7 linked regions of the Oryctolagus cuniculus genome follow. The protein of the gene in region 4 interacts with the protein of the main gene of each other region in a pairwise test. Links are inferred from orthologs where the notes say so. Each region holds a gene or a part of one and is shown on either strand. Other genes may lie near its edges.

Region 1 (4,078 bases), on a different chromosome or scaffold from region 4:
CCTGACACACACGAACACGCTTTGGGCCCCTCTGCAGTAGTCTAGGGGGCTCTTGAGACCAAACAAGCCGAGAGCAGAGCCCCCGAACGAAGGCGAAGGGCGAGTTTCGCCTGCAGCTGCCCCTGGCCACGCGGGCGCCGAGCGGCACAGGTGTTTTCCCGCGGGGTGAAGAGGGCGGCCCTGCTCAGCGTGGGGCGGTTTCCACCTGCGCTTCCGCCCGGGCGGACCCACGGCTCCGGGGAGAGGAATTCCTCACCTTTGGACCCGGCTGGCCAGCAGACACCTCCCCGTCAGCTGGGCACCCGCCAGGGCGCGGCTCGGGAGGGGGCGGGGCCCGGGAGGGGGCTGGGGTCTAGGGGCGGAGGTCCCGAGGACGCAGGAGCAGCAGCACCCCAGGCATCTGCTCGCACAGGAGGGGGTCTCCACGGCATGCAGGGAGCCCCTTCGCAGGGCGGCAGGGCCCGGGGCTCCCGTCCGCGCCCCCCCAGGGCCCAGGCTAAGCGGGATCCGGAAACCCTGCGTGGACCCCCCCCCCGGCGCCTCAGGCCCCCTCGCTCCCCCCACCGACCCCTGGGGACCCGACGGACGGGTGGGGGCGGGCTGCAGCCGCCTCCCGCAGAGCCCAGCCCACGGAGCCGAGGCGCTCCCTCAGATAAGCGCGCAGAGGCGAAAAACCTGAATTTTGCGCACGAGAGTTGCAGCGGGACCCTAAAAACACGAAAGGGTGGGGAAGGGGGCGTTGTGAAGGGCGACACAACCCAAAGTCACAGCAGGGCGGGGGCCGAGCAAGCCACTCGGTGCCTCGGCCACCGATACGGCCGCGCGCCCAGTCCCCCGCACCGAGCGAGTGACCAGCGCGCGCCGAGCTGCGCCAGCCCAAGCGGCACCAAGTCCCGCGGCGCGCGCCCGCGCGTGCGCAGAAGGCACACCCGCCGGACTCCCTCCTCAGGTGCGCTTGCGCTTCCGGCCGGCCTTCTCTGGGCGGAAACTCGAGCTCCTGCGCATGCGCTCTCCAGCTCTCTGGCGGGGTCCAGAGAGGCGGCCCCGGGCTTCAGGTAATCCCGCCCCTCCCCCGCCGCGCGGGACCAATCGTGCGGCGGCGGGCGGGACTTTGTCGAGGGAGGCCCGCCCATGCGCCCCGCGAGTCGTGTTTCGATTGGTTGGCGCCGCGGGCGCAGGTGCGCGCTTCCTATTGGGTGTGGGCGGAGCGCGAGCGGCCGAGGCTGCTCCGGAGGCTGCAGGTGAGCGCGCGCACGCGCCGCGGCTCTGGCCCGGCTCGGGCGCGCGCGCGCGGGCCCGCGGGGGAGGTGGCCGAGAGCGAGGCTGCGGCGCTGGGAGCCTGCGCTCCGCCCTCTCCTCCTCCGCCGCCGCCGCCGCCGCGGGCCCGCAGGCAGGGAGCAGCGTCCGCGCCCGCCGCGCCGCCAGTGCGCCCCTCCGTCCCGCCGCGTGAGCAGCCCGCCCCTCTGCAGGTGCCTGCGCGGAGCGCCCGGGCCGCGGCCGCCCTCCGAACCCGCGCGCCCCGCCGCGCACTCGCTCCCCGCGCGCCCGAGGGGCGGCCGGTGCCGACGAGGCCGCCGCGGGGCCCGGCGCTCGACATGAACCGCAGCCACCGGCACGGGGCGGGCAGCGGCTGCCTGGGCACCATGGAGGTGAAGAGCAAGGTGCGCGGGGCCGGCCTGGGCGGAGCGGCGGTCGGGAGGCCGGGCGCCGGGGGAGGCCGCGGGCCGAGCCTCGGGGGCCCGCGAGGGCGGGGTGGGGGCGCCGGCTTCTGGTTTCCGAGGTGGGAGCCGTGGGGCGCCCTGTCCGGGGCAGGGCCGGAGGCGCCCGGTCCCCCCGTTCGGGTTCGAGGGGGCGAGCGCCCTTTGGGTTGCTTTGCTCCCGGCCGGGCGGATTCCTGGGGAGCCCTGGAGCGCGTTTCGTCTGCGGATCAGCACCGGCACCCGCAGCGCGTGCGCTGGGGTCTCCGCGCCGCCGTCCGCTGCCCGGGTTCCGAGCTGGGCCCTGCTGGCGGCCCGGGAGTCTCGCAGGCCCCGGTCCCGGAGGCGGGCGGCAGGTGAGCAGGTGGGCTCCGCGGGCTGCGCCTGCCGCGGCTCGGCGCTCCTGAGCGAGAATAATCCAGGCCCTGGGCCGTGCCAGCCGCGGCGGCTCGGAGAGACCCGGCGAGGCCGGAGCGCGTTGGAGGAGAACAGCGGATCGGCTTCCACAGTCGCGAAGCCGCGTGGACGGAAGGGGGCCGGGGGCACGGGGCCGGGGGGCGCCCGGCGGTCCCGATGGAAGCGGGCCGGGGGCGCGGGGCCGGGGGGCGCCCGGCGGTCCTGACGGAAGGGGCCGGGGTCGGGGGGCGCCCGGCGGTCCCGATGGAAGGGGGCCGGGGGCGCGGGGCCGGGGGGCGCCCGGCGGTCCTGACGGAAGGGGCCGGGGTCGGGGGGCGCCCGGCGGTCCCGATGGAAGGGGGCCGGGGGCGCGGGGCCGGGGGGCGCCCGGCGGTCCTGACGGAAGGGGCCGGGGCGCGCGGCGGTCCCGTCCCGCGGCTCTGCGCGGCTCTGCAGCCGGGACGCGGCGGGACGATGGTGTTTGGGCCGGGCCGGGGTGGCTGCTGGTCTCGGCCACCGTCCTGTCGGGGGAGTGCGGTTGTGATCGCGGCGCGGCCTCCGTGGGCCCCGGCGGAGCAGGGCAGGGATTCACATCTCGGGTTTGTGGGAGTTGAGGTCAAGAAAAGGCACTTGTGATATTGCATCACTCAAAATTCCGCTTCCAGGCCGACCTTGGTAGCAAGTGGCAGGGAAAAAATGAGTGGAGCTAGTAGGTGCGCTGCTGAAAGAAAGCAAACATTTCCTCCCGGCGCGGGCTGGCATGCCAGGCTCTCGCCGCCTCCTGTCAGCTGACTTGAGAATCTCCCACATACCTGAGGCCCAAACCGGGTGTTAGGTGTTGGCCTGCCGGCGTCCCGAGGCCTGCGCCGGCCACGAGGTGGAATCGGGGCGGCCTGAGACCAGGCGCCGGGAACTGTGGTCCCGCGAGGATGGGCAGAGCAGTGAGGGCCCCGGCCACCCGTGCCCCTGCTTCTCGATGTCTGTTGTTGATGTGTTTACTTCTGAATGGGTTGAATAAGCTGTTTGTCCTCTTAAAAACCTCTGCTGCGGGAGATTTTTGAAGCACATTTTGCTTTGGTGCTGCTTCGGCTTTCTGGGCTCCTGGGGCAGCCGTGGCTGCGGGCTTGGAGCCAGCACTGGAGAGCAGGCGGAGCCGTCTCAGGGTCCTCGGCCCCTGCCTGGACATCAGTAGTGTCGGCCGGATTACCTTGGCCTGGGAAGGGAAGAATGGTTACAGGTAATCAACATAGTGGACAGTGTCAACAAGCTGGTTGAATTCGTGATACCAGAAACCACGTGGCTTTTCTTTGGTAACTGATTTATCTCCCTAATTGTTTCTCTAGAGTTGGGGAAGTTCTCAGTACTGATGGAGGTGCCCTTTAGTAACCTTGGGACAGTCTTGGAGCCGGAACAGTTCCTAATTACTCACAGGCGAATAGGACATTAAAATTAAGTTGTCATTTCTAAAATGTGCCAGCAGATAGTGGGGGGCGGGAGTCTGACACATTGTGAATGGCTGGGAGGAACCAGGCCGGTTAAACAAAGCTGTGAATGGGTCCTGGAGTGGGGAATGGTTGCTTGAGTCTTGAGTCTGTCTCTTGGCAGCTCTCTTCGTGTGGTAAAAAGTTCTCTACCCTCTTGTTCTGCTGCAGGAAGCGTGACAGTTTCTCTAGTGTGTTTCCCCTGCCAGCATTTACAGAGGGCATATCTGACTTTGAAGCCATAGGGTTTCCCACTATTTTTATCAAATGAGTTAAGCAAGAGAAAAAGGTTGTTGAGCAAAGAATTCTCATCCACACACTCGAGCCGAAGCAGTGAAGCCCCCGAAACGTTAACCTCTCAGCTGTCGTTCCGGGTGGTGAGTCAGGCTGAGTGATAACCCGGAGACGAATCAGGACGCAGCGGCCGCCTGTGCTGTGATGCCAGCCAGGGAATGGGGGAGAAACTGTGACTTCTGATAACATCATAGACTGGCTGATAGGAAG
Region 2 (4,215 bases), on a different chromosome or scaffold from region 4:
CCACAGTGCTTGGCTTCCTGGAAGCTGTGGGGTGGGTGCACTTGACTTTCAGAGCATTGCAGTGGCGGGAGCGCTGAGGCAGTGAAGAGTGGACAGGTCGGGCTGCCTGCGTCCCACTCTGTGTCTCGAGCCGGGAGGGAGGAGGCAGGACCCACTAGACGGGGTTGGTCACAGATCCAATGAAGCCACACCAGCCGAGGGTGGAGGGGTGCCCGTCACTCGTCCTTCTCCTCCTGTGGCAGAGGGAGGTGCCAGTCTGCAGGAGGGCTCTGCCTCGGAGTCCACACCAGGGCGTGCTTCTGTGCGGCCTGGACCCGCGCCCGCTCACTCTCACAGAGGGATCGCTGTAAAAAGACACCCTGGTCACGTCCCCGCACGTGGCCTCATGGTCCGCAAGCACCCTCCCATGGCCCCTGTGCCTCCCGTCTTCTCAGCACCTTTCTGAGCACTGATGGACAAGTGGGGGCATATGGGACCCAGCACTCTGCTGCTCGGCCAGCCTCTTGCATCTAATATAGTCTAGCAAGTGCTCCATGTTCACACACATGAGGGATTTTAAAACATCTGGGTCTCAGGACTCAGTGGCTTCAGTTGCCTTGGTCAAGTCTGGGGCAGGTTCACCTGGGCTGAGGGCCGGGGGCACTGCAGGGGGAAGTGTGGTCAGAAGGGAGGAAGATGAAGCACAAGACCAGGGGGAGTCCCGACCACAGACACGGGGCTGTGCAACCCGGCAGCTTCCCTGGGCAGTGGTCGCCCAGCACACACGCAGCGGGAGGGCGTCATGGCCGGGCTGACTCTTGCCACTGTGGGCCCCTGGTGGGTGGGTGGCAGGTGCCCGGCAGGCCTCATCACACACACGAGTACACCTATCCACCTGTCTGTCTGCATTCAAGCTCTATTGTTTGAAATGTTTTTTGTTGTTGTTGTTCTCATTTACAAAGTGGTAAACAATGTAAAGGAGGACACAAAAGATTCCCAGACATCCACCCTGGACGTGGCGGTGAGCAGCGAGCTTCACCAACACCCAGAAAGTAGCGCTCTCGCTGGTGCCCCCCAGGTGGGGTGCGCCTCTGCTGAGTAGTCCACTTCCAGCTCTTCTCCCTGAACAATGTGGTGCTGGCACCTTTCCGTGCCCACGCCCAGGGACATGACTCTACCCCACTGTGTGGAAAAGTTATCTGGTCGAACGTCTGCCAGTGGAATTTGGGTCACTTTCAGTTCCTGTACTGTCAAAAACAGTGGCACAATGCAGATTGTAATGTCCTAACTGTAATGTTATCCACTTACCTCTCCCAGGATAAAATCCCAGAAGTTAAGACTACGCCTTTGACATTTGGGCCATCAGAACACCATACACCCCCACCAGCACTATACAAGTAGCCAGGACTAACTAAACCCTATCCACACTTCTGACTTCATGCTGGCCAAAAGCCACTCTCCCTGTCATTTTAACTAGCCTACCTGCCTACATTTGGTTTCTTTTTTCAGTGAATTGCTTCTTTGTTTCTTTTGCTCATTTTTTTTCTTAAATTCCAAAATCCACCCAGTTTTCTTACTGATAGAAAAGTGCTCTTTCAAATACACATACACACATGTTATCCATCTCTTGCCATACAGGCTACAAGCTTTCTCCCTCTTTTGTTTTGTTTCCTTTCACTTAGGGACTGTCTTCATTTTCTTTCCTTCCTCCCTCCCTTCTTCCCTTCCTGGATTCTCTTATATGAAAGTCAGATTACAGACTTAGAGAAAGAGAGGGCTTCCATCCGTTGGTTCACTCCCCAGCAGGCTACAATGGCCAGAGCCGAGCCAGGCTAAAGCCAGGAGTGTCATCCAGGTCTCTCACATGGGTTCAGGGGCCCAAAGATTTGTGCCATCCTCCACTGCTTTCCCAGGCACATTAGCAGGGAGCTGGACCGGAAGTGGAGCAGCGACTCGACCTAGTGCTCGTATGGGAGCTGGCGCTGCAGGTGGCTCGACCTAGTGCTCGTATGGGAGCTGGCGCTGCAGGTGGCTGGAGCCAGTGCTCGTGTGGGAGCTGGCTCGTATGGCAGCACACTTTGAGGAGAGAAACTTCCGAACTCTTCGCCTAAGCCCACCAGGTCCCTGGCGCCTTTGCAACCTCACCCCACGCCTCTACAGCCCGCTCCCTCCCCGCTCCGGGCCTGGGTTACGCGGTGGGGTACACCGCGCGGTCCTCCCATCGCTGTCTCCGACGCCGTCCGAGGACTACTTTTCTGGGGGTATTTCTCACAAGAAGGCAAGGCCGGGGCGGGGAGGGAGGGAGTGAGGGAGGCCGGCCGCCCGGCGCCCGCCCCGTCCGCACACCTGGGCCTCTGCGCTGCGGCGCTCCTCCCAGTCGCGGCAGCGGGCCAGGTCGCGCCGCCACTGCTCGCAGGACGGCCGCTCGCCATGGACGTAGTAGTGGTGCAGGAAGTGCCTGGCGCTGCGGCACAGCTTCCACTCGGCGCGGTAGGCTTCACAGGGGCGCGGCGGCTGCGGCGAAGAGGCCAGGCCTCAGCGACTCCCCCGCCCCGCCCTGCCCTTCCCTGGGAGAGGCCGCCGGGACCGCCGAGCTCTCCGCGCGTCCCCGACACCCCCACCACACTCACCTGCCAGCCGCCGCCGCCGTCAGCCATGTCTGGGCCACTACCAAATCCCCGCTTTCACCCGTCAGCCAATGAGGCATGAAGAAAGCCGGCGCTGGCTGATGGATGGACAGAAGAGCCAATAACTCTAAGATACGACGACGAACTCCTCGCTCGCCTCCTTGAAAGGCACCAATAATCAGCACGCCTGTACTAAACAGCCAATCACAGCCGGGGGCGGGGCCGTGCGAAGAGGCGGGTCCCCACAGGGGGCGGATGGGAGGGCGTGTCCCGAGGCGGGCAGCAGGCACCTGCCTGGTGACCAGCGGGCGTTGGGGGCAGCGAAGCCACGTTGATTTGGCTGCAAGGATATGGTTCAGGCCAGATCTTTTTGGCAGCTTTGTTATCTTCCTTGACCTCAAAGATCCGATTTATTTCTGCAAACACATACAGCTCAACTCTGCGCCAGCTGACCCCCTAGGTCTTCAGCTGCAGTGGTGTCGCCATGGTGTCCACTCAGGGTAGAGTGGCGCTCGCAAAGTGACCGAGGCTGTTTGGGCGTGACGCATGTCCTGGGACCAAGGGCCATCAGAGCTGGCCGGAGCTGGCTGTCTGGCACAGCTGGGGTGGCCAGGGTTGCTTTCCTGAGGGCGTGGGCCATCAGCACAGAGACAATGAGGCCAAGTACAGAAGGGGCCGGGCGTGTAGAAGCTCCCCGGGACACCCGTGCTGTGGGTCTCCCACATCTGTGAACAGAACCATTGGCTGGGGAAACCCCAGGAGCAACATGGAAGGTGGCTCGGGAAGCTGTGGGTTTTTTTGTTTGTTTGTTTTTTAAAGATGTATTTATTTGAGAGGTAGAGTTACGTAGAGAAAGGTGTTCCATCCACTGGTTCATGCCACAATGGCCAGAGCTGGGCTGAACCTAAGCCAGGAGCCAGGAGCTGCTTCTGTGTCTCCCATGCAGGTGCAGGGGCCCAAGCACTTAGGCTATCTTCCACCACTTTCCCAGGCCATCAGCAGAGAGCTGGATCAGAAGTGGGGTAGCCAGGGGCTCACTTACTGTGCCAGAGCGCTGGTCCCCGGAAGCTGTGGTTTTACCACGAGACTGGCTGTTGACGTGCTACCTCACTGTCCAAGTGCCAGGGAGGACAGAGAGGAAAGCTGCAGCAGTAACATCCAGGGCCAAAACTAAACGGCCCAACAGTGGGGTCTCCCCCTGCCCAGGAAGGGGACTGTGCCTCCAGGGAAGGAAAAGGGAGGGTTTCATTGCATGCACACAGCAGGGGTGGCATGGTGAAAACAGAAACCCAGGGCCCGGCCTACCTCCACTCATTATGCACAAAATGGCCACTTGCCAGCCAATGCAATCCTGCACTTGGAGGCCGCCCCACCCACCAAGGAGGGCTTCCACCTCTGCTAGGGACCCTGAGGTCACTGCAGGCCTTCATGCCTTCCAGAATCAGCAATGGCCGCTGTCAGTGACAAAGTGGCAGCTGCACCAGAGGGCAGAGCCTGAAGCAGCGCGACCATCTCTGCTCCTCACTGACTGACACTGGAGAGGGCACCTCCCCTCTCCCGAGTGTGGCCAGGAGCCCCAGCCAGGGCATCTGGCTGGCCTGGATCAACC
Region 3 (3,500 bases), on a different chromosome or scaffold from region 4:
AGGCTGGGGGAGGGTATGGAGGCTGACGCAGAGTTGGAGATACAAGGGGAGAAAGACCCCAAGGCTGGAAGAGACAGTTCTTGTACACTTGGGGAAACAGCAGGCAGCATAGGAAGTAGCTCAAGGGGTGACTTTCAGAGGTAAGTCTGGGTTCAAGTCCGCCTTCTGTTAGTTACTCCGCGTGGCCATGGCGAGTCACGTGGAGGCAGCAGGGTGAACATGCTCCCTCCCTGGCTCGTGGGAAAGTGGAGAGGAAGGGCCAACGTCGCTAACGCAGGCGAAGGCTCAGCCGCCAGTAGGTTCTGATCAAATGCCGGTTATCCTAGCACTGCAAGGGTTCGTCCGGGGAGCACAAGACTGGAGCTGTAGTGGGCGTTAGAAGGAAGCTTGGCACTGGACTTGCTGCTGGTGAACAGCGTTGCAGAAAGGGTGGTTTGTAGATGGAGAGCAGAGCGAGGACAAAGCTGGCATACGACTGGGGTTGGACTCCTCGTAACTGAGGGACCAAGGTTGAGTTCAAGGCGACCGCGTCTGCGGGTCTCGCACCCGTGGAGTCAGCCAGCCGCGGGTGGGAAACGTTCGGAAGCAAAGTGGCTTTTGATGTGCAGGATCTGTTTTCCTACTGTTCTCTAAACAACACAACACAGCAACACTGCTCAGCTAAGGGGCTGTGAGAGGTCTGGGGGTGACCTAAGGCTTGGGAGGGCACACGTGGGTTCCGCAGATACCACAGCACGGCACACCAGGGACCTCAGCAGGTGCGGATTTGGGTATCTGCGGAGAAGTCTTGGAACCACCACACCCCAAGACAGACACCGAGGGACGACTGTGCCCGTGTCTGGGAGAGCCTCCAGTGCTCCTTTTTTTTTATTTTATTTGTTTTATTTTTGACAGGCAGAGTGGACAGTGAGAGAGACAGAGAGAAAGGTCTTACTTTTTGCCGTTGGTTCACCCTCCAATGGCCGCTGCAGCCGGCACACCGTGCTGATCTGAAGGCAGGAGCCAGGTGCTTATCCTGGTCTCCCATGGGGTGCAGGACCCAAGTACTTGGGCCATCCTCCACTGCACTCCCGGGCCATAGCAGAGAGCTGGCCTGGAAGAGGGGCAACCAGGACAGAATCCGGCGCCCCAACAGGGACTAGAACCCGGGGTGCCAGCACCGCAAGGCAGAAGATTAGCCTAGTGAGCCGCAGCGCTGGCCTTCCAGTGCTCCTTTAACTGAGTGTGACTCTCAGCCAGTGAGAGCTTGGTTGGATAGGGGCTTTGTGTGGCGGCTGAGACGTGGCTTGCGGTGTCCGCATTCCATACTGGAGCGCCGGGGCTCAAGCCCCACCTCTGCTCCCGCCTGCAGCCTCCAGTCAATGCCCGGGGAGGTGGCGATGAAAGCCCAGGAAGCCGGGTCTCTGTCTCCCACGTGGGACACCGCTTTGCGTTCCCACCTCCCATTTCTGGCCTGGCCCAACCCCAGCTGGTGTGGGCCTTTGGGGAGAAAACCAGTGTACGGATGGGTAGTAGGTCAGTCGCTGGCTCGCTCACTTGTTCTCACTCTGTTCCATGCTGTCTCCCTTTCCCGTTCAAATAAAAATACTTCTTTAAAGAGAGCCAGCTACTTCCTGCATAGCACATCAGGTCCCCACTGGCTCAGATTAAAGGCACAGGAGGGCATGAGTTGGCTAAGTAGAAGGGGGTCAAAGGTTAAAAGCAGGGCAATGGAGACCAATAGATTTCTGGAACTGAGGCATTGGAGGGAGGGGGCATGTGTCACTGACCCCACCTCCTCCGTTCCCAGTGGGCGGGGATGGGAAGGGTCACTGACCCCATCTCCTCTCTCCCCCACAGTGGGCGGGGCGTGGGAAGCGTCACTGACTCCACCTGCTCCATCCACAGTGGGCGGGGCGTATTAAGCACCACTGACCCCACCTCCTCTGTCCCCAGTGGGCGGCCGTGTAGACTTTGAGGACTTCGTGGAGCTGATGACCCCCAAATTGCTTGCAGAGACCGCCGGGATGATTGGCGTCCAGGAGATGCGAGACGCCTTCAAGGAGGTGAGCAGAGATCCCGCCGTCGGCCATTCCCATGGACAGGACTTGCTTTCCAGCTGTGGCGGGATCGGTGGGGAAGGCAGTAACATCCTCCAGACACTCCAACAGCTGCGTGTTCTGTCTGACTGAACCCTCACCAGTAACGGTAGGAGTTCACGGTCACGTCTCCCTGCCATGCCAGTGAGGGAAACTGAGGCCTCAGGGGTTCCAGGGCTTCCCCGAGTCCCTGCGTCCTCCAAAGCGGGTGGCCGGGTGTCTAATGTGAGTGCTCCTGATAGGAGGGCAAGTCCAAGCATATGAGGGTCCCTGGAGGGAACTCGAAGGAGACCGCCTCGTTGGAGCCTCTTGCCATAGGGATGCTGACAGCAGGAGCTGGGTAGGGAGGGGGGTTGCCTCGATCCCTGACCAAGTCCTGCCCCCGGCCAGAGCCAAAATACAGAACAGAACCCAGCTTGGGCGCGAGGTCTCTGGAGCCGGGCACACGTAGGCTGAGACCCTGGGAGAGGTCCGCCCTGGGCGTGCAGATCCACAGCCGCGCCACCCTGCAGCACTTTCTGTGACCTGGGAAATGCTGGGTCCACGACAGCAGCCACGGCCGGCCGCGCGTGGCCACTGAGCCCCGCAGACGCGGCTGTAACTCGTTTCAGTGGATTTCAGTTACTTGTTTAATTTCCATGAATATCCCGCTGACCACACTCCTCTGTCCAAGTGTTCAAATGCAAATGAATGGTTGATTCGATTTGTAGGAAACTTTCATTTGAGACAACTCGGGTATTCGAATCCACCCTTTCAACTGGGAATTTCAGTTGAAATTCAGATCAAGCATTTCTTTTATAAAAATTATTCATTTGTTTATTTGAAAGGCAGAGTTACAGAGGCAGAGGGAGAGACAGAGATCTTCCATCCGCTGGTCCACTTGCCAAAGAGCCACAATAACCAGGACTGGGCCAGGCCAAAAGCAGGAGCCTGGAACTCCATCCGGGTCTCCCACGTGGGTGCAGGGGCCCGAGCACTTGGGCCATCCTCGGCTGCTTTCCCAGGTCATAGCAGGGAGCTGGATCGGAAGTGGAGCAGCCAGGACTCGAACTGATGCTCCTATGGAATGCTGGCATCACAGGCAGCGGGTTTAACCCTTTGTTCCTTGGTGCTGGCTCATCGGATCAAGCATTTCTGATCAAAATTTAGTGTCCACATTGACAAGTGCTGGACTAAGATTTAGTCCACTTAGCATAAGTGTATTTGTCAACTTAAGTGTGTTTCCTTGCTACGTGTGAGAGCTAAGTAGGCTAAGTACATGGGAACTGCTTACTGTGCTAAGGGTTATGAAATCCAGTGTGCATAATAAATAAATAAGTCATTAATTATTTTTAAATTCATTGCATTCTGAAATGATACATTTGGCTACATTGGGTAAAATAAAATCAATTATGAGAAGCTAATCTGAGAGCGGGCCTTTGG
Region 4 (3,500 bases):
AAACTTTATATATCAGAACTACAACAAACTTATACTTCAGTGGATCACAGAAGAAACACGAGAAAATGTTTAAAAAACAATTTTAAGCTTAAGAACTCATTTGTCAATAAAATAGTTACATCAAAAAAAGAACCCAAATGTTTAAAATTTAGGTATTATATAAGTAACATGATTAAAATTCATACACGTATATGCATGTACACATATGGATTTGATTATCTACTTGAGTAATATCAAAGTTTCTCATATATGGTTTCAAATGTGCAAGGATACTTCAAAGTTAGTAGAAAATGGGGTTAAAGGATAAGTTTATTTGGGTGCAAAAAATTCTGAAATCCATGCATATGAGGGTCTTCAACAAGATCATGAAAAATGCATATTATTAAAAAATTATACATGAATTTCAACTTAATTAATTCCATTTTTCCACCAACTTTCTAAAAATAACACATGTATGTCACCCACAGTTCAGATGGCAAGAGATTAAAGGAACAATTTGTAACAGGAAGAAAGGAAGTTTCAGGAAAATAGGACAGGATATTGCTTGCCTTGGGAAGAAGCACTAGCAGTCTAACACTAAGTAACTACAGGACCATAAAAAAAAAAAAAAAAAAACACTATGAGGCAGAATGGAGTGAAGATACAGTGTCAGGACCAAAGTTTCTAATTCAGGAGAATCATTCCATCCCAACAAAGCAGCTAGTAATTGTAACCTGCTAACTACAGAATGGCCAGAATTAAACAGAGATGAAAAGACCTGCTGATCTTACAAGACCCAGGAAGAAAGTAATTCTTCAGAGACAGGGGAATTAGGAAAGAAAGCCTCTATAAACATTCCAGAAGTGTCAAATGCTGAGAATACAGAGTAAAAACAACCTGAGGTCAACCCCCTCCACTGATGCTGTCCCCATACTGCTCTATCCCCGCCAGCTTTATAATTCTAATGTTGTAGTTCTTGTGTTCAGTAAATGCTCATTGTGCTTCCCAAACTAGAGCAGACAACCCTAGAAAAATAATTGTCTTTAAAATTTTCTTTCTCACTCCTTTCATCAATCTTTGAGTGCTATTCTAAAAAGTAATCTGGTTAATTTCCTGAGAGTATTTCTAGGATCAACAGGTAAAACTACTTCTATGAGAACAAATACACAAAGAAGGAAAACTCAGGATTATTTACCTGTGTGTTCACTACTTCTTGAGATAAGGTTTGATTGAGTGGTGGGTACATTTCAAGTTTTATATTTAAAATTCCCACAGAAACTTTTGATTCTGTGCCTATAAATATAAATAAATATTTAGAACTTCAGAAGTTTAATACTATGTATATTTTAGTCAAGGAAAGCATAATTAAAATAATTTGGAATTTGGTGATTTACTATTTATATGGATAAAAATAAAATTCAACATTCCCTTTAATAGTCATATTAAAAAATAATGTCAAATTAGTTTTTATTTTGTACAAAGTTTCATCTAGTTATAATGAAATTAATTATGTTCTTAGGATTTCTAATAAACATTTTAAGGAAATTTTCTGACCTAAAGGATATGAAATTCTTAATTTTTAACGTCCATAAATGCATAATATCACCAGATTTACATTAAATACAAAATAAAAGCAACTGCTAACACCTCATCCCATCTTCTCTGGGGACAAAAACAACAAAGTATCCTCTGTCTGACATGAGGATACTTCAAAAAACTCATGGAAAAATGAAATTAAAAGATAAGTTTATTTTGGTGCCAAAACAAAAGTGAAATCCATGCATAGTTCCTAACATGCATTTTCCATAAACCTTTTAGGAGCCTTCACATGGTAGCTCCCGTTCACCCCCATTTACTCCTTCCCTTATATTCACATGTAAGTACAAATTTTCAATATACACCTGGACTTAAAGGGTCCAGAAAATATACCTCATCCCAGACTATTATTTTTTAGTGAATCAGTACAAGTTTATTTCTGAGTCATTGCTGTGATTCTCATGTTAGGCCCATTTTTAGAAACAAACAAATATCTTTTTGAAAGCAAATATCCTAAACATAAATAAACTTTTTTCTCTTCTTTTTATTTAAGGAAAACCACTTTCCAGGACTTACATAATAAAATTTAAATAACTAAGGCTATGCTGTACACTGGCCAGAATTAACTCTGTGACTAGGTTTCAATATTAAAGAAATTCCACTGTATGTTAGGCATTAAATATTAGTAAATTTTGCTTTTTAATTTTATTAGCAAAAATACAGCAGGAAGTTTGAAAGATTCTAAGATGACAGTGGTAAATAAAATAGATGTAATCTTTCTTTTCAAAGAATGTAATTCATTAATACTGACATTGAGTAAGATGCCATCTCTTCCAAGCCTCACTAGAGAACATCTATTCTACATTCTGCAAGAACTATCAGTACTCATGGAGATGCATTTGAATTCCAGGGCAAGCTGGAATGAGGAAGTTTTTTAGGTGCATGTGTAATGTGTGTGTATCAAAAAATCTTATTTATCATTTTCTATTTAATAAAATGCACTTGAAAAAAATTTAAACTCTCAAAATTTTATATTGACTTTCCTGAAAAAGAAAAAAACCTTTTCCCTTTAAGGCTACTCTGGCTGTGAGGTGCTACACTAATATTATTCTTTGAGACCTTCCCCAAGACTACAACTGGACTGAAAACCAACTGTAATTCCAGTGAAATTCTGTTTTATAGGTTTTCCTCTTGGTCTAAGAGCCATTTTAAAGATAGAAAATGAATTTTGGAAGAAATTATGAATATAAAGATAACAGTGATACTAATCATCATACCTACACCCATTAGTTCCACCGTTAGATTGGTCACTCCATTTTCTGAGCCCAAAACCGATCGCCATTCCAGAAAATAGGATGCTACTAAAGTGGTCTCACCAAATATGTCTGTTTTGATTAGCACCATATGGATGGGATCACTTATTGACAACATTGTTGTTGAATCAGCCATTCTAGTTCCATCACCTGACAATATAAACAGAAGGTTACATCATATTACATATTGTTAGGCCAACATAAAACTACTTTTATTGAAAAATATACTAAATAATAAACATATATGAAACTAAATAGAATTAATTTGGTAATATCTCAGAAAGCATATCACAAGCCTGGGAATACAAGTACACTCCTAGTTCCATCACTAGCTTCTGAGAAAACTGGCGGAATTGTCAAGTAATCTAGTTACTTAAACCATATCAGTGCTTTTTGATAAATAGATTAATAAGCCCCAGGAACCCAACTTCTTGAGCCACTGTCTGCTTTCTCTCAGGGGGGTGTATTAGCAGGAAGCTAGGCTCGAGAGTGGAGCCAGGACACAAACCCAGGCATTCTGATATGGTATGTGGGCTTCCCAACTGGCATTTTAACTACCAGGCTAAATTCCTGCCCCTGAAAGTCGAAGTTTAGATGTGAATATGTAACTTACTTTTGTAATGTCAAAATTTATGAGGGGCGGGCATTATAGTACAGTGGTCAAGCTGCCTG
Region 5 (3,936 bases), on a different chromosome or scaffold from region 4:
AACTGGGCTAATGACAGCGGTGTGGGGGGGAACCGGTGGGGCAAGAGGGGGTGCTGGGGTAATTAGACCTCTGCCTGGCACTAGGAGATCCTGAGATGAAAGGGGCTCTGGCGTCACTTGCATGGTTTTATGTCCATGCGTGCAGGTGTGTGTGTGTGTGTGTGTGCATGCGCACACGTACGCATGCATGCAGGGGGATGGGGCTGGTAGGAGACCATCCCTCTTTTGGGGAAGGGGGTCCATTTGGGTGTAGCCCACCCTCCTCCTCAGAGTGGCCTTGGTACCCTTGGATTTAGGTGAGGCAAGCATGGGAGGAAACACAGCTCTTGTGGGGCTGGCAGTGGAGAGGGTACAGCCAATCTCGCCCCCTCCCCGGGCTCAGCAGGGAGAGCAGACTGTTGGGGAAATGGCTGGTGTCAGTGAATAAAAGAGCCGACGTGGAGAAGGGTGGCGTTTGGAAGAGGAGGCAGTGGATCGGGTTTGGCTGTTAGGAATGAGAGGGGTAAGGGGGAATGTGCTCCCCCAGAGGATTAAAAACGGCGTGACTGAAAGTAAAAGGACCTGCGGGAGCACCTGCCCAGCCCTTGCAATTGGAGCTTGAGGAAGCTCTGGCCGGGCAGGCTGCGGGGATTTCCTCAAGGTCACGCAGGGAGTTACCGGCGGAGAAGGGACCCGAACTCCCAAACAAACTCCACTCGACCGAGCACTTGGCAGGCAGACTCTCCGCCCCGTTAACGCGGTGCAGGTGGCTCGTCCACGCTCCCTCCTCCTGCCCACGGTGCAAACCTCGAAAACCCCCCAATCCTCCCGGCAGGCAAAGGCTATTTTTTTTTTTAAGTGACAGCTTTTCCAAATATGTCACCAAGTACAGCTCCCGCCGGAGCCGCTTGCCGGAGTCCGAGCGGGGCGGGGGCAGAGGCGGCCGAGGGGCTGCCGGGCCGCTGGCCGTGGTCCCGGGGCGCGGCGTGGGGCGGGGGGCGGGCGCCGGCGGCGGCGAGGCGGCCTGCAGGGAGCAGCCGTGAGCCGGCCGGGCGCGCCGAGCCCGAGCCCCAGCCGGAGCGGGGCGGGGGAGGGAGGAGCCAGAGCGGCCGCCGCCTCTGCCGGAGGAGCCGCGGGGCCGCCACACTCGCCCCCCGCCCCCCCGCGCTCACTCGCACTCACACCCGGGCGCTGGAGGCGGGCGGCCCGGGCCCCACCGGCCCCCCATGGACGCCCCCGGCACGGGGCGCTGAGACCCCCGCGCCGCTGCCCAGCCCGGTCCAGCGCGCCACGCCGAGGTAAGGAGGAGGGAGCGAGGGGGCATTAATATGCAAATGCCTCGCGATTGATTATGCAAAGCCGCGGGTCCCTACGGCCGGCTCCTGGGCGGGCTGGGGGCGCCCAGGGGGTGCCCGCTGCCAGCCTCAGCCTTCCGCGGCGCCCAGGTGACCCTGTCACAGACCGGGAGCTTGCAACTGACGCCCCAGGGAAGGGAGGTGTTGCTGGGAGGTCGGTGGGCCCTGGGGTTCGCTGGCGGAGATGGCGTCTGGGCCTCCCCCTCGAGGGCCCGCCCGGCCTCAGTCCGGCCGGTCTGCTGCGCGTTCCCAGGCCGGGCCCCGCTGCCGGCCGCCCGAGCTCCCCCGCCCGCCGCGCCGCGGTTTGTTTACGGTGCTCCGGAGGCCTGCCCCCCCCAGCCCCCACCCCAGCCTCGGAGGCCGAGCGGCTGCGGAGGGCAGTGGGAGTGCAGTGGGGAGGGGTGGGCTTGCACCGGCAAGGGGAGAGAGAGACAGAAGTCCCTCCTCCCCTCACCCTCTCCCCAATTAAGCATGGCTCTCTGGTTGCAACACTCCTAATTGCAAAAACGCGGCTGGGGGGGTGGGGGTGGGGAGTGGGGGTTTGGGGGCGCAGTGGGGGCCCGTGCTGGCTGGCGGGGCTGAGAAAGAGAGGGAGAAACGGATCTCTGTTGTGCACCCCCCCTTGTCTCCCTCCCCTTGCAACGTGTCTCTGGTGCCCCTTCTCGGTCTAGGGCCCTCCCTTGTCCAGTGTGAAAGAAAGGCCTGGGGGTGGGGGGATGGCGGAGGCAACGGGGAGAGAGCTGCCGGCTGGGTGGGGGGTTGGGGGGATAGAAACAGAAGGAAAGCCAGTGAGATGGGAGCCTGCCCCTCCATGCTGGCTCCGGCCCCAGAAGGGGGAGGGGATGAAGGGGGCTGTTGTCCAAGATGAGGGGAGAAGCAAAGGTGACATACAGACACAGAGATATGCCCACACAGAACAGCCACATGCACACCCAGGGACACCCAGGCGGACTCAAGGACAGGAGCTGCTGGACACACCCACATGGGACAAGGAAAGAGGCAGGCTGCCGCTGCACTGTGGGAGCCCAGAGGGGCAGAACACACCCACGGGAGACCAGCAGCAGGCAGACGGACCCATGCACATGCCCACACGCAGGGTAACACAGAGATGCTGTCACCCACATGGGCGAGGGGGAGTTGCTGTCACCCACACAGAAAAAGTCACTATGGCATGCATGCATGCACACGGAGCAATTGCACACAGCCACACCGTTACAAAAGACCCTGTCACTCACAGGCACACACGTGCTTGCATGAGCACAGTCACGCAGGCATCATCCCCTGGCGTGACAGTCACTGTCACTCTGTCAAATGCAAGCACAGTTACACATCAACACATGTGTACACAACTTAGCAACAAGTATTTTCTTGGATTCTTACAGTGGAACTCGGAGGTTCTGTCGACAGCAAAACCGCTGCTCCTGAGTAAATGGAATGTGTGTGTGTGAAGAGATTTTTCATGCATCACGATACAAAGCATGCATTCCTGATAGCGCACTCGCTCTTGGTCATTCTGGCTTGTCAAATCACCCTACTGGGAAGCCGACTCCTTAAGACCTGGGAGAATCGCTTAGACAGCTCTGGATCCCACCCAGAGACTAGCATAGGGGCTGCTCTGTAAATACTTGTTCATTGATTGACTGTGGGCAGTGCGGACACAGGTGCACTCGTTGGCACGCAAGCCCATGGACTCAGGTGCACCGCACATTCACAAGGCTCGGGCCATGCTGTCACAGGTCCACGTGGACAGTGTGTCAGACAGCCCCAGGTGCACACTTGCTGCCAGCGCAGTCGGGCACACCTCCATGCCTCGGTGACAGCCTCCCTCCAAGCTTCCTCCTGTCTCCTTCTGGCATCAGCCCTTTGTGAGAGTGGGCGCTTTTTTTTCTTTTGGAGGGACAAGAGAAACAAGAGCAAAGACAGGGGGTGTAGGGGGGTTTCAGAGGGCCGAGTCATGGGCCTGAAGCAGTGTCCAGTGACTTCTAGCAGCTGGGATTGTCCTGGCTGCAGGGGTGGGGGTGGGGGCGTTGTATGGGGGAGAGCTGGCTTCCAGGGAGCGGCTCTCACCCGTCCCCTGAAAGCTAACAGGGGACTCCCACTGCCCTGCTGAGGATGATTTTCCTGGGGACAACTGAGTCCCTGCCTCCCACCGTGCGTCTGGCCCCTTTTCCCACCTTGGCCTTTCTGTCCAGACTTGGACGCTTTCCTTAGGAGGCCGAGTGCTGGCGAGTGTCTGCGTGAGTGATGTGTATTTTTGACTTGGAATTTCTCTCTAACTCTGTCTCTCTTTCTGTTGCTGTGTCCCGTGGTGTCTAATTCTCCCTCTCTCCTTGTTCCCCTGCCAGTCTGTTACTCCCTCTTGCCCCAGCGCTCCCCTGTCCACCCCTGTCCTTGTCTCTGTCTGCCACTGCCCCTTCCCTGGGAGCTGGGAACTGGCAGGGATGGTCTTCATACTTTTCCAGTTGTTAATACTCAAACTCCGGCCCTCTGCCCCGGCCCGCCCCGCCTCTGGGGTCAGCGGGAGGTTGGGGTGGGGGGCGGGGGGCTCAGCTGGCTGCTCAGGACATCCTGTGTTTCCTTAGTGCTGCCGCTGCACAGCCCA
Region 6 (3,500 bases), about 39 Mb from region 4:
GGGAGAGCCCCAGCAGTCAGCCAGAGGGAAGTGCAGTGGCCAGAAAACCTGTGTCACTCACCCCAGCCCAAGCCCTACCCACTCGTGTGCCTGGAGTCACCATCCTATCTGCTCGCTGTGGGAAAACTAGTGACCCTAACAGTTTGGGAAATCCGCCTGGCAACTAGCGCTCAGCGGTCTAGTCCTTTATTTGTAAATCTGCCAGCAGCCTGGAAGAGGGGCCGAGTGGACCATGCAGAGCAGTGGCCCTTGGAGCAGCAGAGGTGAGGCTGGGTGCAGAAAAGACTTTTCTCCTCCAAAACACCTGCAGTGTGTTTGGCCAAGCTTTTATGTCAAGTTGAGAACAGACTGCTATGAAAGAGGCACAGAGAACAAAAGAGCGTTGCTGAACATGGAAAACGTCATTACCGAGTGTAGAAGCCCGTGGGCAGGCCAAATAGTGGCCAGGAAGTAACTCACTCACCAAGGTGGCGATGAGGACAACAGTGAGGAGGCGTGAGTGCTCCCGAACACCCGGGAAATTATCTGTGAAACGAGTAAGAGGAACCGAGAGTGGTACTCTCAGCATCAAAGCGTATCACAAAACCACAGAGAGTAAGTCAGCCCGAGGCCGGCGCCTGTGGAATAAACAGACAACGAGACATGGAAGTCCTGGTTGCAAACCAGTAGGTTGTTCAGTGACTCCTGCTTGAACACCTGGCTTTCCATCGTAAAATAAAAAATGCATACGTATATATGCGCATGCAATTCCCTACCTCACACCATATTCAAATTCCAGGTGCATTAAGTATTTGAACATAAAATTAGGATTTTTAAACCTGATTACAGGCTCAGAAGTTGTAGAGGCAACTATTCTATCTATTTGCATAAATACTAGATGGTGATAGACAAGGTAAAAACATAGTTAAAATATAGGTGGGAAGCATGTAGAAAATGCAACACTGGTTCATCTTAGTAGGTCAGACAAAAACAGCACCCGAAAATAAAAACAAGTAGGCTATGAACAGGCAACTCACAGCAAAAAAGGAAAGTCTGTGAAAAGATTAGTATTCTCCCTAATAAAGATGTGGATTGAAACTGGTTCCTTTTCTGTTTCTAAATTGGCAAAGATCAGCCTGTGAATTTGTTGGGAAAGGACACTTAAAATTCTTGGCAATAATGTAAATTCAGATAACTCCAGAGAGCAAGTTGGCCTTATCTGTTGGTGATTAATTAAATGAGTTTTTTGAGAGGCGGATAGACAGAGTTCCTATGTCCTACTTTACTCCCAGGTGCCCACAATGGTCAGGGTGGAACAAGGACCAGGCTGGGCATGAAGCTGGGGTGCAGGAACTCAACCCAAGTCTTCCACATGGATGTCAGGAATCCAATTGAGCCATCACAGCTGCCTCCTAGGGTCTGTGTTAGCTAGAAGCTGGGTATTAAACCCAGGTACTCCAGCATGGGACATGTATGTCTCAGCTGTTAGGATAAACCCTTGTCTGCCCATCTGTATGCATATTAAATATGCATGCCTCTTGACTCGTCAGCTCTAGTTCAGGAATTAGAACATAGGAAAATACTCACCATGGCATCGTAATACAAAAACACTGTAAACAAGCTAAATATGCAATTGTTAAATGGTTATATCCACAGAATATTGTGTGTATTGTCAGTAAAGAGAATGGGGTAGGCTTGTATGAAGTGATGGGAAAACAAGTCCATCATATATAAAGTTGTAAGGTGGTATATATGCACTTTGATTGCCATGTGTATGCACGTCTTGAAACCATTGGTAGGCTCATCTGTGTGTGTACGTACATTAATAACATATACTTAAAACAGTGTTGGAAGGAATAGCCCCCACATGCTTACTGGTGGTCACCTGTAGAGACAGAATTGTTAAGCCAGAGGATGAGCTGGAGTTGCTTTTCTACATTTGCCCGTATGATTTGAATTCTTTCCTTTGCGGGTGTTTCACACTTTGAGAAGACGCTGGGAGAGATCTGCCCTGGGACACCTTCCTTCCTCTGTCTCACCCGTGTCCTTGACCCTGTGGGCTGCTCAGCCTCGTTCTGTCCATTCACAGGGATCATCTGGTGCCAGATCTTGGAGGGCCACCTGGAAGAGGCGGGGCACCAGCTGGAATTCCTGAAGGAGGTGCAGCAGTCCCTAGGGAAGTCGAAGGTCAGCACTCCCGGGGGCGTGGAGGGCTCCGGGTCGTGTCCCCTGCCCTCTTCCCACTGCCCTCTTCCAGCAGGGAACAGCCGAGGTGGCCTGCGCCTCCACTTTGCCCCTGAGACTCGGGCCTCGCTTCTGCAGGTGCTGGTTTTCCTCCAGGCTCTTCTGGCCTCCAGGAAGAGCAAGGGGGAACAGGAGGTCACGGCGCTGCTCCAGGAGGCCGTGGAGCTCCACTTCTGCGGCATGCGAGGCCTCCCCATGGGCTGCGAGTACTTTGAAAAGCTGGACCCGCCCTTCCTGGTCTGCGTGGCGAAAGAGTACTTGCTCTTCTGCCCTAAGCAGGTTAGGGAAGGGTCCATCTTCACGGCAGGGCTTTGAGGTGCAGGTTTGGATAGGGCACAGTCCCCAGGCTGGAGTGGGGCTGGGGTGGGGGAAACCAGTACTCTTCAAACTTGAACGTGTGGCGCACAGATCAGCTGGGAGGTGGTTGTCCCAGTGCAACTGCTGACTGTGAGAGCCTCGCAGCCCTGACCAGCTCCCAGGCGATGCTGATGCTGCTGGCCCAGGGAGCACCCTTGGAGGAGGAGGGTGTTGGCCTCTACCCTGCCTTTACCCTGGATTAGAACTTGGCTCCCCATTTTTCCAGAGCCTTCTAAGGTATGTGTTCATCTTGACTTGCTCGTGCCACTTTCTAGGCCAGTTAAGGTCCCTTGTGGACAAGGACTGTATTTTCATGTGTCTTGGTAGCCCCTCCACGCCTCACAGCGCGTCGTTCAGGTATCTGCTGGGTGCTGTACCCTGTGCCAGACATCACCCTGGGTACCAGGGAGACGAGAGTGAGCAGAACAGGGTCCCCATTCTCTGGAGCTCAGGCTCTAGGAAGAGCGGGTCATAAACTAGTGTGGGATAAAGCAGGAGCCCTGCCTCGTGAGTGTCTCTTAGAGCAGCAGACCACACAGCAGGTCCCCTGTGCTCCCGCAGCCCCGGGCACCCGGCCAGATCGTGGCTCCACTTCTCAACCAAGTCACCGTGATCTTGACTCCTGTGGTCAAGGCAGCACCAGCTCTGCTCGACTCCATGTATGTGATGGCTCAGATCAAGTATCTCTCAGGTAAGCCAGTGGATCCTGGAGACCAGGCAGGGTTGTGTCTTCTCACAGCCCTGTTCGTCTGCTCAGGCACCTGCTGGGATTTCTGTTCGCTCATCCCCAAATCATTGTCCACAAGATGTGTCCACAGGCTTCCTGTCTGGGATATTTTAAACACAGACTGCACAGAGACACAATGGGCCTCTTACCAGGCCTGCCTGCTCCTTCCAGCTTCCAGTCCCCCAGGGATCTT
Region 7 (3,500 bases), on a different chromosome or scaffold from region 4:
GTCCCAGGACGCCCCTGCATACAAGAGAAGGATTCACTCGAGGTTAGAAACACATTAGTCAAATCTGAACATGGGGCGGCAGTTAGAGTGAGCAGCGGCAGAAATCAAAGTTCAGTGAGCCCCATCCTGAATTACACCCAGATGTCTTGTTTCCCGTGCTTCCTCTCCACAGGGAGCAAGTTCAGTGATGTGATGTTTGGCTACTGGAACAAAGTGTATTTTTCCTGAATAGATTTCATGATGCCTTCAACGACCACGTGCACGCTCTGGTCAAATCCAAGCATAAAGGAACAACGCAGTCCAATCCTAACCGGAACCGGACTCGGCTTCCAGTTCCTGCCCACCCACAGGCACCTGCAGAGCAGGCACGGTCATCCATGCCTCAGGTGACCGACAGGAAGATGACACTTCTCACAAAGGGGCTCTGTCCATCAGCCAGACCGAGCCAATTAAAGCCCCTCTGCCAGGACCCAGAGGGAGAGGGTGTGCGGGGTTCCTTCCAGGACACCGAGCATCTGCAGTGGAACCAATGAGGTGGACGGGTTTACAAGGCAAAGAGGAGTCCATCGCTTCTAAGTTTGACAACACCTTGGGTCTAAACTACAGGGGTCGGCCCTTCAAACAGAGGCCCCTGAACCTACCCTCTTGATCCCCATGCTTTCCAGTTTCTCTTCCAGGGTGTCCTCCAGGATTGGCCTGAACTGCTTCAGCAAGGTGGGGTTCCGCCTCAGAGCCGCCAGCACCTTCCGCTGCTCCTCCCGGGGGTCCTCCGGTTCTGCAGCATGAGATCCCACTGCAGTGAGCTCGGGCACAGGAGCCCCATGCCCAGAGCCCCGTGCCCACCTGTGCTGTGCACCTGCGGGCCTCACTCACACCGCCCGTGGTCCCGCTCTCAGGCCTGTGAGCCCAGCACCCCTCCCGAGGGTGCTGCCCTGGATCAGAAGCTGGGGTGTCTCAGCTCCTGGACACCAGGAACTCAGAAGCCCCATGCCCCCTCTGCGTCCTCAGGCCCTGCCAGTGTGGACGCCTGAGATGGGAGTCAGCCCGGCCACAGCTTAACGTGGGGCTTTGGGGCTGGCACCTGAGCCCCAGCAGCTCTGTTCCCACAGCTCTGTTCCCCTTTATTCCAAGGCCCACTGCTGCCAGCTCCAGCCTCTGCCTAAGGCACCCAATGCCCTCACCCCACTGCCAAGCTGGGGGCTTAGAAGATAAATTAGCAGGCAAGACAGACAGATCTCTGCTGCCCCAAGCTTACCACCCGCACCAAGGGTTCTCCCTCCAAAAGTAGCAGACTCCAGAGTCCCCTGGGCATGCATTTTAAATGTGCGTGCTCTGGCCACCCTCCCCAGTGATGCCACAGACCTGGGGAAGAGCACTAAAACCCGCATCTGAACACACCCAGGAGATTCGGAGCGAGATGAGCCACAGACCACGCTTCGAGAAATACAGATCCGGCCGGCACCGCGGCTCAACAGGCTAATCCTCCGCCTTGTGGCGCCGGCACACCGGGTTCTAGTCCTGGTCGGGGAGCTGGATTCTGTCCCAGTTGCCCCCCTTCCAGGCCAGCTCTCTGCTATGGCCCGGGAGTGCAGTGGAGGATGGCCCAAGTGTTTGGGCCCTGCACCCCATGGGAGACCAGGAGAAGCACCTGGCTCCTGCCTTCGGATCAGCGCAGTGCACCGGCCGCAGCGGCCATTGGAGGTGAACCAATGGAAAAGGAAGACCTTTCTCTCTGTCTCTCTCTCTCTCTCACTGTCCACTCTGCCTGTCAAAAAAAAAAAAAAAAGAAAAGAAAAGAAAAAGAAAGAAAGAAAGAAATACAGATCCATGGGGCTGGGCTTGCGCCAGCAGTGGAAACACATCGAAGCACCAAGGTTCAATACCCGGCTCTGGCTCCCAACTCTAGCTTCCTGCTAGCGCAGGCCTCGGGGGCAGCCGTAATGGGCCCAGTAACTGGGTTACTGTCACTCTCATAGGAGACTGGCATTGAGTTCCCAGCTGTGACTTGGCCCATTGCCAACTATTGCAGGTATTTGGGGAGTGAACCAGCAAATAGGAGAGTTTCTCTCTCTCTCTCTCTCTCTCTCTCTCTCTCTCTCTCTCTCTCTTCCTCCCCACCTCCTTCAGCTTCCTCCTCTCTCTCTCTGCCTCTCAAATAAATATATTTTTAAAGAAATTTTTAAAAAAGAATCACTGATCCAGAAGGCAACAAAACAAGCAATGACCGTGACTGCTACAAAGGGGGTGGTCCAGGAAGAATCTGGAATGACTCCCGGGAGGGCTCCGCAGGTGTAGAATGGGGGCCCCTGGGGCTAGAGGGGCACCAAGCTGTCACTCAACAGACGTTTACAGAACAAGTGTGGGATGCTGGCAACTCTGGGAGGCTCTCTGGCCACCGGGCACTCACAGAGGAGTCTGGCGTCCAAAGCCTGGCTGCAGGCTTGCAGCACCTGCGCCCCTGCCCAGGCTGGTGACCTCCGAGTCCCTGAGGGTGGGCCCCAGCCCTTGATACTTTACTGTTTAAACTCCCCGTGTATTCTCACAAACAGCCATGCCTGAGAAGTAGCTGTTCCAGGGCTGAGGTCCTCAGGTAACAGCCACAGTGTCAGCATCTCCTGGTGACTTGAGAGCCCCATTCCAAGCCTTCTGAGTCACTAACTCCTAACTCAGCAGGTGGAGCCCAGCAAGCTTGCCCCAGGGCGACTGCCTCAACTTTGGCTGCACCCTGCTCTCTGGGGCAGGCAGCGTGGGGGAGGGGCCCTCCAGACAGTCAGCAGCTCCCTGGGTGATTCTCAATGTGCGCCCAGCAGTAGAGTCACTGGCCTTGTGGCGGCTGTCACTGAGCCGGCACTGAGGCATAGCGAGTAAAGCACTCCCTGCGACACCAGCATCCCATATGGGCGCCGGTTTGTGCATCTTGGCTGCTCCACTTCTGATCCAGCTCCCTGCTAACACACCTGAGAAAGCAGTGATCATCTCAAGTATTTGGGCCCCTGCCACCCACGGGGGAGACCTGGATGAAGCTCCGGGCTCCTGGTTTCGGCCTGGCCCAGCCCTGGTCATTGTGGCCATTTGGGGAGTGAATCAGTGGATAGAAGACCTCTCTCCCTCTCTGTCCCTCCCTCTTTCTCTGTAACGCTTTCAAGTAAATAAATAAATCTTTAAAAAATAATAGATACAGATGAAAATGTAGATGGTCACGGCCCAGAATCTCTGCTTGATTTTGTCCAGGGTGGGGCTGCACCTTTGCATTTCTAACCAGGTGCCGAGGGACGCTGCTGCCTGCTGGCCCAGGATGGGGCGAGGTGGACAAGTGTGGGAAGAGGCCCAGCCCAGGAGGATGAGCCAGTGAGACCCCCACCACGGCAATGGGGACCCCGCCGGGACCCCTCTGACCCAGGCCCCTCAGGCCCTTCCCCTCTAGAACCCTGCATCCCCGGTTTGAGGAGCTGGGTCTCACCCCACCTGAGGACCTCACGCAACACAGAGCTTCCCCAGAA

What was found.
Region 1: the proteins of CEP76 (region 4) and PARD6B interact in binary tests that used the Homo sapiens proteins (3 or more experiments, as listed by UniProt). The two-hybrid records come from large-scale screens. The link is inferred for Oryctolagus cuniculus from reciprocal best matches to the Homo sapiens genes CEP76 and PARD6B.
Region 2: the proteins of CEP76 (region 4) and C21H22orf39 interact in binary tests that used the Homo sapiens proteins (3 or more experiments, as listed by UniProt). The two-hybrid records come from large-scale screens. The link is inferred for Oryctolagus cuniculus from reciprocal best matches to the Homo sapiens genes CEP76 and C22orf39.
Region 3: the proteins of CEP76 (region 4) and CABP5 interact in binary tests that used the Homo sapiens proteins (3 or more experiments, as listed by UniProt). The link is inferred for Oryctolagus cuniculus from reciprocal best matches to the Homo sapiens genes CEP76 and CABP5.
Region 5: the proteins of CEP76 (region 4) and THRA interact in binary tests that used the Homo sapiens proteins (3 or more experiments, as listed by UniProt). The two-hybrid records come from large-scale screens. The link is inferred for Oryctolagus cuniculus from reciprocal best matches to the Homo sapiens genes CEP76 and THRA.
Region 6: the proteins of CEP76 (region 4) and TTC21A interact in a two-hybrid assay, tested with the Homo sapiens proteins (2 studies listed by BioGRID). The two-hybrid records come from large-scale screens. The link is inferred for Oryctolagus cuniculus from reciprocal best matches to the Homo sapiens genes CEP76 and TTC21A.
Region 7: the proteins of CEP76 (region 4) and DZIP1L interact in binary tests that used the Homo sapiens proteins (3 or more experiments, as listed by UniProt). The link is inferred for Oryctolagus cuniculus from reciprocal best matches to the Homo sapiens genes CEP76 and DZIP1L.

The regions. Positions count from the first base shown.
Region 1 is NC_091442.1:10,162,053-10,166,130, reverse strand, and holds the start of PARD6B (partitioning defective 6 homolog beta), read left to right. Parts: upstream 1-1,278; 5' UTR 1,279-1,595; coding exon 1,596-1,661; intron 1,662-4,078. UniProt on the Homo sapiens protein: Adapter protein involved in asymmetrical cell division and cell polarization processes. Probably involved in formation of epithelial tight junctions.
Region 2 is NC_091452.1:27,283,293-27,287,507, forward strand, and holds the start of C21H22orf39 (synaptic plasticity regulator PANTS), read right to left. Parts: upstream 2,801-4,215; 5' UTR 2,637-2,800; coding exon 2,610-2,636; intron 2,494-2,609; coding exon 2,326-2,493; intron 345-2,325; coding exon 216-344; 3' UTR 1-215. UniProt on the Homo sapiens protein: Negatively regulates long-term potentiation and modulates adult synaptic plasticity. Stabilizes the interaction of RTN4 isoform A/Nogo-A with its receptors, inhibiting clustering of postsynaptic AMPA receptors at synaptic sites.
Region 3 is NC_091449.1:9,860,622-9,864,121, forward strand, and holds part of CABP5 (calcium-binding protein 5), read left to right. Parts: intron 1-1,935; coding exon 1,936-2,045; intron 2,046-3,500. UniProt on the Homo sapiens protein: Inhibits calcium-dependent inactivation of L-type calcium channel and shifts voltage dependence of activation to more depolarized membrane potentials. Involved in the transmission of light signals.
Region 4 is NC_091441.1:69,554,529-69,558,028, forward strand, and holds part of CEP76 (centrosomal protein of 76 kDa), read right to left. Parts: intron 2,979-3,500; coding exon 2,793-2,978; intron 1,273-2,792; coding exon 1,175-1,272; intron 1-1,174. UniProt on the Homo sapiens protein: Centrosomal protein involved in regulation of centriole duplication. Required to limit centriole duplication to once per cell cycle by preventing centriole reduplication.
Region 5 is NC_091448.1:22,366,864-22,370,799, reverse strand, and holds the start of THRA (thyroid hormone receptor alpha), read left to right. Parts: upstream 1-1,136; 5' UTR 1,137-1,277; intron 1,278-3,936.
Region 6 is NC_091441.1:108,219,845-108,223,344, reverse strand, and holds part of TTC21A (tetratricopeptide repeat protein 21A), read left to right. Parts: intron 1-2,068; coding exon 2,069-2,166; intron 2,167-2,301; coding exon 2,302-2,502; intron 2,503-3,141; coding exon 3,142-3,271; intron 3,272-3,500. UniProt on the Homo sapiens protein: Intraflagellar transport (IFT)-associated protein required for spermatogenesis. Required for sperm flagellar formation and intraflagellar transport.
Region 7 is NC_091435.1:143,615,615-143,619,114, reverse strand, and holds part of DZIP1L (cilium assembly protein DZIP1L), read right to left. Parts: intron 776-3,500; coding exon 642-775; intron 1-641. UniProt on the Homo sapiens protein: Involved in primary cilium formation. Probably acts as a transition zone protein required for localization of PKD1/PC1 and PKD2/PC2 to the ciliary membrane.